2 linked regions of the Cricetulus griseus genome follow. Each later gene encodes a partner of the first gene's protein in a complex. Links are inferred from orthologs where the notes say so. Each region holds a gene or a part of one and is shown in the gene's direction. Other genes may lie near its edges.

The links.
Region 2: Dhx9 (region 1) and Igf2bp1 share a complex: the UniProt entries of both Homo sapiens proteins name them as parts of the coding region determinant (CRD)-mediated complex. The link is inferred for Cricetulus griseus from reciprocal best matches to the Homo sapiens genes DHX9 and IGF2BP1.

The regions. Positions count from the first base shown.
Region 1 is NC_048598.1:38,200,976-38,204,787, forward strand, and holds part of Dhx9 (ATP-dependent RNA helicase A), read left to right. Parts: coding exon 1-79; intron 80-1,906; coding exon 1,907-2,063; intron 2,064-3,654; coding exon 3,655-3,755; intron 3,756-3,812. UniProt on the Homo sapiens protein: Multifunctional ATP-dependent nucleic acid helicase that unwinds DNA and RNA in a 3' to 5' direction and that plays important roles in many processes, such as DNA replication, transcriptional activation, post-transcriptional RNA regulation, mRNA translation and RNA-mediated gene silencing.
Region 2 is NC_048600.1:109,139,788-109,144,302, reverse strand, and holds the start of Igf2bp1 (insulin-like growth factor 2 mRNA-binding protein 1), read left to right. Parts: upstream 1-1,529; coding exon 1,530-1,704; intron 1,705-2,837; coding exon 2,838-2,898; intron 2,899-4,515. UniProt on the Homo sapiens protein: RNA-binding factor that recruits target transcripts to cytoplasmic protein-RNA complexes (mRNPs). This transcript 'caging' into mRNPs allows mRNA transport and transient storage.

The DNA.
Region 1 (3,812 bases):
GCTCCTAAGAAAATTAGAAGCGGGGATTCGAGGGATCAGTCATGTAATTGTAGATGAAATTCATGAAAGAGATATTAATGTAAGTTACTTATGAATTAAGAGGATGATTTGTCTATGTCTAATTGAATAAATTGCTTTTCCTTGCTCTTTTCCTTTCATCTACTTCTGAATATTGTTAAGAGAACCTGTGAACCATCAGGTAATACTTTGTTTATGATGATCAGTAAGAATTTATGCAACTTAGTTTAGAGCTTAGTAGTGATTTATGACTTGAGTAGCTGGCTGGATATTAGGATTAGTTTTCCTTTGTATGTGATACTGTGCTTTTGGCAAAATGTTGGTGGGTATTGGTAGGTTATTTCAGATGCTAAAAATCATCATGGGAAACAGGAAAATGAAAATTTTATTTCTCACCTTTGCCTTGGGTGCTTGGCAAGTCAGTATAGTTTTATTATACAATTGTAGGAATTGAAGTTTGATATTGAAATACACAATTTTTAAAGATCCTATTGATACAAGAAAAAGTGTGTCCACATAGTTTGGTCATTCAAACTATCCCAAGTTGCTATTGGAATCTAGGAGTTACTCTTGGTTTTCTTTTTAAAACAGGGTCCTCAACATAGATTGGCCTCTGATTTTGAACAGTCCTGTTGCCTTAGCTTCCCTAGTCATTTATTAAAAGTATGAACAAGTACACCCAGATGTTTTAGTAGAGACTTAACTATAGTGTTGACATACTAGTGTTAAAGAGTTAAAATTAATGTCTGGAATAATACCATGGATAGTTATTCTACTTTAAAGGTGTTAAACCTCATCAGATAGGCAGTATATCATACAATAAGAAATATAGGATGAATACTTTGAAGGAGAATCCTGTATCTTTTACATGGAAAACTATACCCAGATTAGAATAAACATTGTTCTAGATGAAAACCTAAACGAGTTTAATGTCTAATAAAAAGACATGCAAGGCGTGAACATAGCATCAAAAAAGAAGTAGATAATTTTCATAAAGAAAAGACTAAATGTCATAGATACCAAATCTCTAAAGGGATTGGTCTTTTAAGTTCTGACAAATTGGTGGGAGTGTTTTTGCCTTAACATAACTTGTTTTGTTGGTTTTTCAAGACAGAATTTGTATGGCCTTGGCTATCTTTGAACTCTCTCTGTAGACCAGGATATGCATACCTATATAGCACTGTTAGAAGTATATGTGTCTTAATGTTGCTGGATATCAGCATTTAGCTAAATAGCCATTCCTAGCATTTCAGTTACTGACTTGGTTGTTTGTGGGAGCTATTTCATTCACTGACTCCATACCCACCCCTAGGATACCTCTGTTCAAATTCCTTTCCTCTAGAGTCTTTTGAGATAGGCATGACATAAAAAGTATGGTATATATACAAAGCCTACATAGGGAGGACCCATAAATATAATGGTGGGTGATATGGCAGGCAATTTAAACATTATAAAACTAAGTTGTGGCTGTTACTTTATTTGAACTGATTTTTACCATGTTTCTAGTGAAAGTTGTGCATTTTAAACTTTACCTAAAGGTTTTTTTTTCCCCTCTTAAGCATGCAAGTACACATACAGAAACAGGAAAAAGCTGGTCAGTTGCTGGAAGCCCTAAGTTTGGTTTCCCAGCAGTATATAACACTAGGGATGGTAGTACATGCTTATAATCCTAGGCTTTGGAATTGGGAGAAAGAGGAATCAAGTCTAAGGTCTATAAGGTATAGTGAAGTCAATGCTATACTAAGATCCTTAACCACCCTATCTCATTAAAAATTCACTGTAATCTTAAACTGGTGTGTGAAACAATTTTCACTAATGTCTTATGACTATTAGAAATCTTAAAGGTGTATTTTGCTACCCCTTACAATTATTGTTCTTATTTCAATAGACTGACTTCCTTCTGGTAGTACTTCGTGATGTGGTTCTGGCTTATCCTGAAGTCCGAATTGTTCTTATGTCTGCAACTATTGATACCACCATGTTCTGTGAATATTTCTTTAATTGCCCCATCATTGAAGTTTATGGAAGGACTTTCCCAGTTCAAGGTAAATTATGTGGATATGATGGGAAGGAAGCTATGCATTTTCTTAATTTTGGCGATCACAGTGATAGTTTAAAAGACTGAAAACATGCCAGTATTGCCTCACAACCATCTGCAACCCCAGGGGATCCTCTGTGGATTTCCTAGGATACCATATGAATACAGGCTTAAAAAACAGGCCATTGATTTCTATGCTTTTGATAAAACTTTGACTATTATAAGAACATCTTGATTTTATTGAAGTAGCATTGCACAGCCCAATTGAGGAAATTAAATTTGCTAAGAGAGTCGACAATATTGTGAAATGTATTTGTGTGAGATGAATAGCCATGCTATGCTACATTGTTTTAATTAAAAAATAAATGGTGGGCCCAGCACCCATCTAAGCCAAATACTGTGACATAATCTTATTGTTTCTCAGGCTATGGGTTTCAAAGTTCTAATAATTGATGTACTTCAATACTGAAGAACTTTATAAAGAGATTAGTAGATAGTAGAGGGTAGGAATTAAGTTTCTTACAGATTATACTGTTGTTTTGGGTTAGTCTATGATCAACATGGTAAGCATGGAAGCAGGCATGGCATTGGGACAGCAGCTGAGTTGATGATTTAAAATTTTGATTAATCGGCCAAGGGTGGTGCCTCACGCCTTTAATCCCAGCACTCGGGAGGCAGAGGCAGGTGGATCTCTGAGTTCAAGGACAGCCTCCAAAGCTACAGAGAAACTTGATCAAAAATTTTGATCAACCTAGAATATATGAATTTTATTGAAATAACTTATTGCACAGTCCAGGTAAGGAAACGCAACTAACCCTAAGAGACTTAACAGTGTGATGAAATCAATAGCTGCCATGCCACTAAATTTTTTTTAATCTCTCCTAATCTGGGCAAAAGGCAGAGATGGGCACAGTTTGAGCAGAAAGCTAATGATGGTACTAGATTAAGTTTAATGTTTAAATTACAAATATACACTGAATAGAAAAGTGGCAATTACAGATTTCATGCAGAAACCTTATAAATAGTATGTGTACGTGGATTTCCTTGCCAATAAAATTTGACTACTACTCAGAGTGGACTTGATAGTAATATTTGTTCCTAAAGAGTGGACTTCTAAGTGGCAGGGGAGTACAACTTAATAGTGAATAAAATTGGTGGACATTAATTTATGTACCTTTGGTTTGCAGTCTTGGGTGGTGGCTTTATGGTTGAAGATACAGAATAGAGATTATAGAGTCACTTCTTGGTGTTTTAGAATATTAGGCACAGCATTGATTAGTGATCTTCAGTCTTTGCATTAACATCCTCCTGGGAGAGGATGATGGTATACACAGATTCCATGAAAGTTTGGTTTTAAAAAGTTGTATAAAGGGGAAACCCCAGCTGTCTTTGTAAGAATTATCTCAAATCTTGCAGAGTTTGATGGAATCATAATGTACTTTCTGTTGTTGAAATTTAACTGTAGGAATTTCTTATACTTGTGAAGCCTCAAGTTGATGAGGATGAAAGTAGTTTCAACTGTGGATTAGCAAATGAATTTGCAGTTGTGACATTTTATAAATTATCACGTACTTAACTAATGTGACTGTCCCTGACAGAATATTTTCTGGAGGACTGCATTCAGATGACCCAATTCATTCCTCCTCCAAAGGACAAGAAGAAGAAAGATAAAGAAGAGGATGGTGGTGAAGATGATGATGTAAGTCGATTCCTCAGCACATCTACAGGAATGAGGAATGTTCATTGTGAGAATATT
Region 2 (4,515 bases), on another chromosome or scaffold:
AAGGGACCTGGGCGGATCCACTTCCCCCTCCCCACGGGAGGGGGAGAGAGAGCCGCAGCCCCCTCCCCCGCCTCTCGCTTCCTCGAGCGCCGAGCGGAAATTGCCCCCTCCCCGCTCGGGCTGACCTGGGGACGTGGGCGGGGCCTCGCGGTCCCCCCCCCCCCGGCGGCCTTCCAAAATCCAGCACCCCAAACTAAGTTCTGAGATCCAAGCCCGGCGCGGGGACCGCCGCTCTCGACATCTCGGGTGGAGCGGAAGCAGGCGACGCCACCTGTCCGCTCCTCCTTGCGCGGGGAGCCCGGGGGCCCTGGGGTCTCCACCGCGTCACCCCCTTCTGAAACCAACCCCCCTAGGTTCGCCGGCTCTCGGTGGAGCGAGCACCCCGCATCATCCTCTCCCACCCCGCTGGTCCTTCGGGAGTGACCTCAGCCGGGTCGCCGGCTCCCCCCCAGGAACGCTGGAGAGCTGTCATCCAGCAGCTGGACTGGGTGCGAGCCAGCTCTGCTCCGGCGGGGATCCCGAAACACCATTTGCCGCGGGTCCCTCGTTCCCAGGAGCTGTCCCGCGCGACCAGGGTCCCCCGGATCTGGACCCGGGAGGCCAGGGAAGTCTCCTGGGGGTGTGGAGGGGAAGACAGTGACGCCCTGCTTAGAAACGTAGAGGGAAGGCGTCTTCCCCCCTAACTAGCCGGTTCTTGCGATCCCCTCCTGAAGACCCCGGAGTCCTCGGCTTCTCTTTGTCTGTCTCGGCCGTCCCCCGCCTGTCAGTCGCTAGCAGTTTACCAGGGTGGGGTGGGCAACCCAGTCTCCACACAACGAATAAAAAAATGACCGAACGTTTCACTCCAAAGGACTGGGGAGATTTGGGTCGCCACCGCCCTCCCCCAGGGCAGGTCGCGGTGGCAAGAGGGGTGGGTGGGGGCGGGGCGCCGCCTCAGGGGCCAGGTTCTTGCAAAGGGGGAGGGGGCGAGGGGAGCTTCGGGGACTCCGTCTCCACCTTCCTGGCTAACCCCTGGGGTGCGCCGGGTGCCCCCCAAGACCGGAGACTGTTGGGTTGGTCCCGGTTGGACGGCCCAGGGGCCCGGTGGCGTCGGGGGTCTTTCCTTGCAGGGTGGGTGGGGGCTGTCACCACGTGGCTTCGCCTTTTTTTTTTTCCGCTCCATTTTTTTTTTTTTCCAAGTCGATTTTATTTAGAGGCGGCGCCAGGGCGGCCGCGGAGAAACGTGACACACCAGCCCGCTCGCAGGGGTTTCGGACCGAAGGGAAGGAGCTGCGCCGCGTCGTCCGCCTCCCTGCGCTCCGCGGGCACTTCTCCCGGGCCACCCCGAACTCTCCCGTGACCTCCGCGCGCCCTCAGGTCGCCCACCCGCCCGGAGCTCCGGACAACTTGAGGGGTGGGGCGCGTAGAAAGTTTGCAGCTCCCGCCGCCCGCCTCCGCGCCTCTCGGCCTAGGAGGCTCTCCGCTCGCCAGCCCGCCCGCCCGCCCGTTCGGCCTTGCCCGGGACCACGTCCTGCCCCGCCACCGCCACCATGAACAAGCTTTACATCGGCAACCTCAACGAGAGCGTGACCCCCGCAGACTTGGAGAAAGTGTTTGCGGAGCACAAGATCTCCTACAGCGGCCAGTTCTTGGTCAAATCCGGCTACGCCTTCGTGGACTGCCCCGACGAACACTGGGCGATGAAGGCCATCGAAACTTTCTCGGGTAAGAGCGCGGCCACCTCCCCGGGGGAAAAAAAAAAACAAAACCACACAACGAAATCCCAGAACAACGGAGACCCGCAGCTCCTCTTTTCTTGCCCGCCAACTCTTCCCGGGCCCGCGGGGCTCGGCCTCGGTAGCCTGCCTCGACCTACCTCCCTCGACGCCCCCTCCCCACGCGGGAATGGTCGGGGTTCCCTTCTCCCTTCCCCCAGCCCGGGACACGCGAGGCTCCTCGCCCCCCTCCCCACCGACGGGGCGGGAGCCCCCGTCGGCAACTGGTGGGGGTGGGGGTCTCCCGGGCCCCGGGTCTAGGCGTGGTCTCCCCGGTGCCCGCACCCCTCCGCTGGGAGGCCCCCCCTGCTGGAGCACCCCCACGCCCATGCTCTCCCTCCTAGGCCTTCCCAGGAGGGGTGCTCCTGCACCTCGGGTCTTCCCGCTCTCTTCCTGGGCACTCGCCCTGAGACAGGACGTGGGAGGAAGGGGCTCCCGCCTCCCGCCCAAGGCCTGGGGCTTGAGCCATTTTGATTTGAAAGTGGGGCGTGAGCCGGGTGGCGCGGCGGCGGCGCCGGGTCGCCATGCTGCTTCCCGAGACGCCGAGGCTGGGCCGAGAGGCGCGCGGTGGCCGCGAGGGACCCTCCCCACCCGGCCGCGCCGCGCCGCGCCCCCCGGGGCCCTCGGCTAGCCCTCCGGCCCCGACAGGTGACGCCTAGTCGCCTGAGCTCTTCTCCGAGGCTCGGCAGGAAAATAAAGTTTAATGCTCTACTCCCACCCCACTCGGAGAAACGGGGTGATCCTTTCCCCGGGCTCCTTCCTACTTCTGGGAGCCGCAGAAGCCGCGCGCTCACCACACAAACGCTCTCACACCTTTCCTAAATCTGGCTCTCGGAGCAGTCCCTGCAACTAGCCCACGTGATTAGTGGAAATTAAACGAAAATTTGAGAAAAACGAATTTACGGGTTCTACCATGCCTGGAGCAAGGTAGAACACCCCCCCGCCAAGGCTTAGGCAGCTTAGTGCCTAGATTCCTAAGACGCCCCTCAAACTCTTGAATTTAGCTAATGTTCCTTATCCTCCCTTCCTCCCCATCCCCCACTCTTGTTCCCTCATTCATTTTTTTTTTTTTTAAATCTTCAGGGAAAGTAGAGCTACAAGGAAAACGCCTAGAGATTGAACACTCGGTCCCCAAAAAACAAAGGTAGGAAAAGAACTCATTTGGGGGAACTGAGGAATATTAAGGGGGTCCAATCCATAGCGTCGTCTCCAGTGGAACAAACCCATTACTGGCCTTCCCAACTCCGGATGTTGGGGGCTGGGAAATAAGATTGGCCAAGATCTTGTAATGGGTGTTTTAGAGCTTTAAAAAAAAAAAAAACAACAACAACAACTTGGGATTGGGGTGGGCCAAAAGATGTTACTTTCAGAAACTAAAGAGAAAAAAATCAATTGGGGGAAGCCCTGTGGAGTTAGTTCAAAGTGAGGGACCATTTTTGTAGGGAAGCGTAGATATACAGAGTTCAAACTCATAGCGGGGGTGATTTCTTTAACTTCCCGCCAGGCTTCTTCTTTTTTTTTTTCTGTTTCTCTCATCCACATAATAATTTGAAAATGGATTTAGGGGAATCCCTTTCTCATTGGGGGTGAAATAATGAGCAATCCACCCCTATTAGAATCTGCTTATGCCGTATTAATTTCTGTTATAGGCATGGCTTTTGTTGCCCCCCTCACAGACCCTCATCCCCAGCCCCTCGCATCTTATATTGCCCCTTCAACTGGATTTTCAAAGAATATCCTTTGGCTGTACTATCCCTTTCCAGCCCCCCCACCCCCACTCCTTCAGCCCATTGTTACAAGGGACCATCTGGGGTGAGAGCTTTGTGCTCAGGCTGTGAGCTGGGGCTCTTTGGAGGGTCTAGAACTCCAGGGATGAATGGGTGTGTGTGTGTGTTCTCATCTGAGTTCTTTTTTCCCTGTATTCCATCTTTTCCATCAAAATGGGGTATCTCCATCTTGCTCCCCTAAAATTCAGGGTGCTTTGAATTCTGAAGTCTTCGGTTGAACTCTGACTGTGTAGCATAAGGGCAGTGTTTCTCACATCAGACTTTTTGAACATGTTGACAGTGCAGTTTTCTTTCCTGTCTTTAGCTGGAAGCAGTCCTCAGTACATTTTTGGTCCCCTCAACCCCTCTTTCAACTGGAAACTTCCTGAATTTCTGAACAGTTTTTGGCCTTTCCTAAGGTGGAAATGTGTGTGGGTGCTGTGCTTTTGGTGTGTGTGTGTGTGGGGGGGGTACTTTTAAAGAATCTAAAGTTTAGCTGGAGATAAACTGTTCTGTGGTTTGCCTTCAGATTTTAAAGTAACTGAATGATTGCCTCTATAGATGATCAATATTGTGTCTGTTTCTAGAGTATGTGATTTGTTGTCAGATGCTTGAGAAATTGGAAAGGTGATTAGAATTAGGAGCAAAGAGGCACTAAAATGAAAAGGAAAGAAAAGTCTTACTTTGAAAAAATTTGGGAGAGAATAACATAATTGAGGTCTATTTGAAGATTATGAATATTTAAATTCAAAACTCTTGATGGGGAATCTAATAACTGGAATTCTGAAATATGTGATCTTTCCCCTTCTGCTCTTGAGAATGGTTTAAAATTTAAAGCCGGAAGAAGGGATAAGAAAGAAATAGCAAAATGTGGTGAAATGGAACTCAAAACATTTATATTTTAATTTTCATGGTGCCCTGTATTTGTGGATCTTTCTCTTCAAGCCATCTGCTTGCTTTTATGGCATTTCTATCTAGGCTCTCTGTTCCCTCCA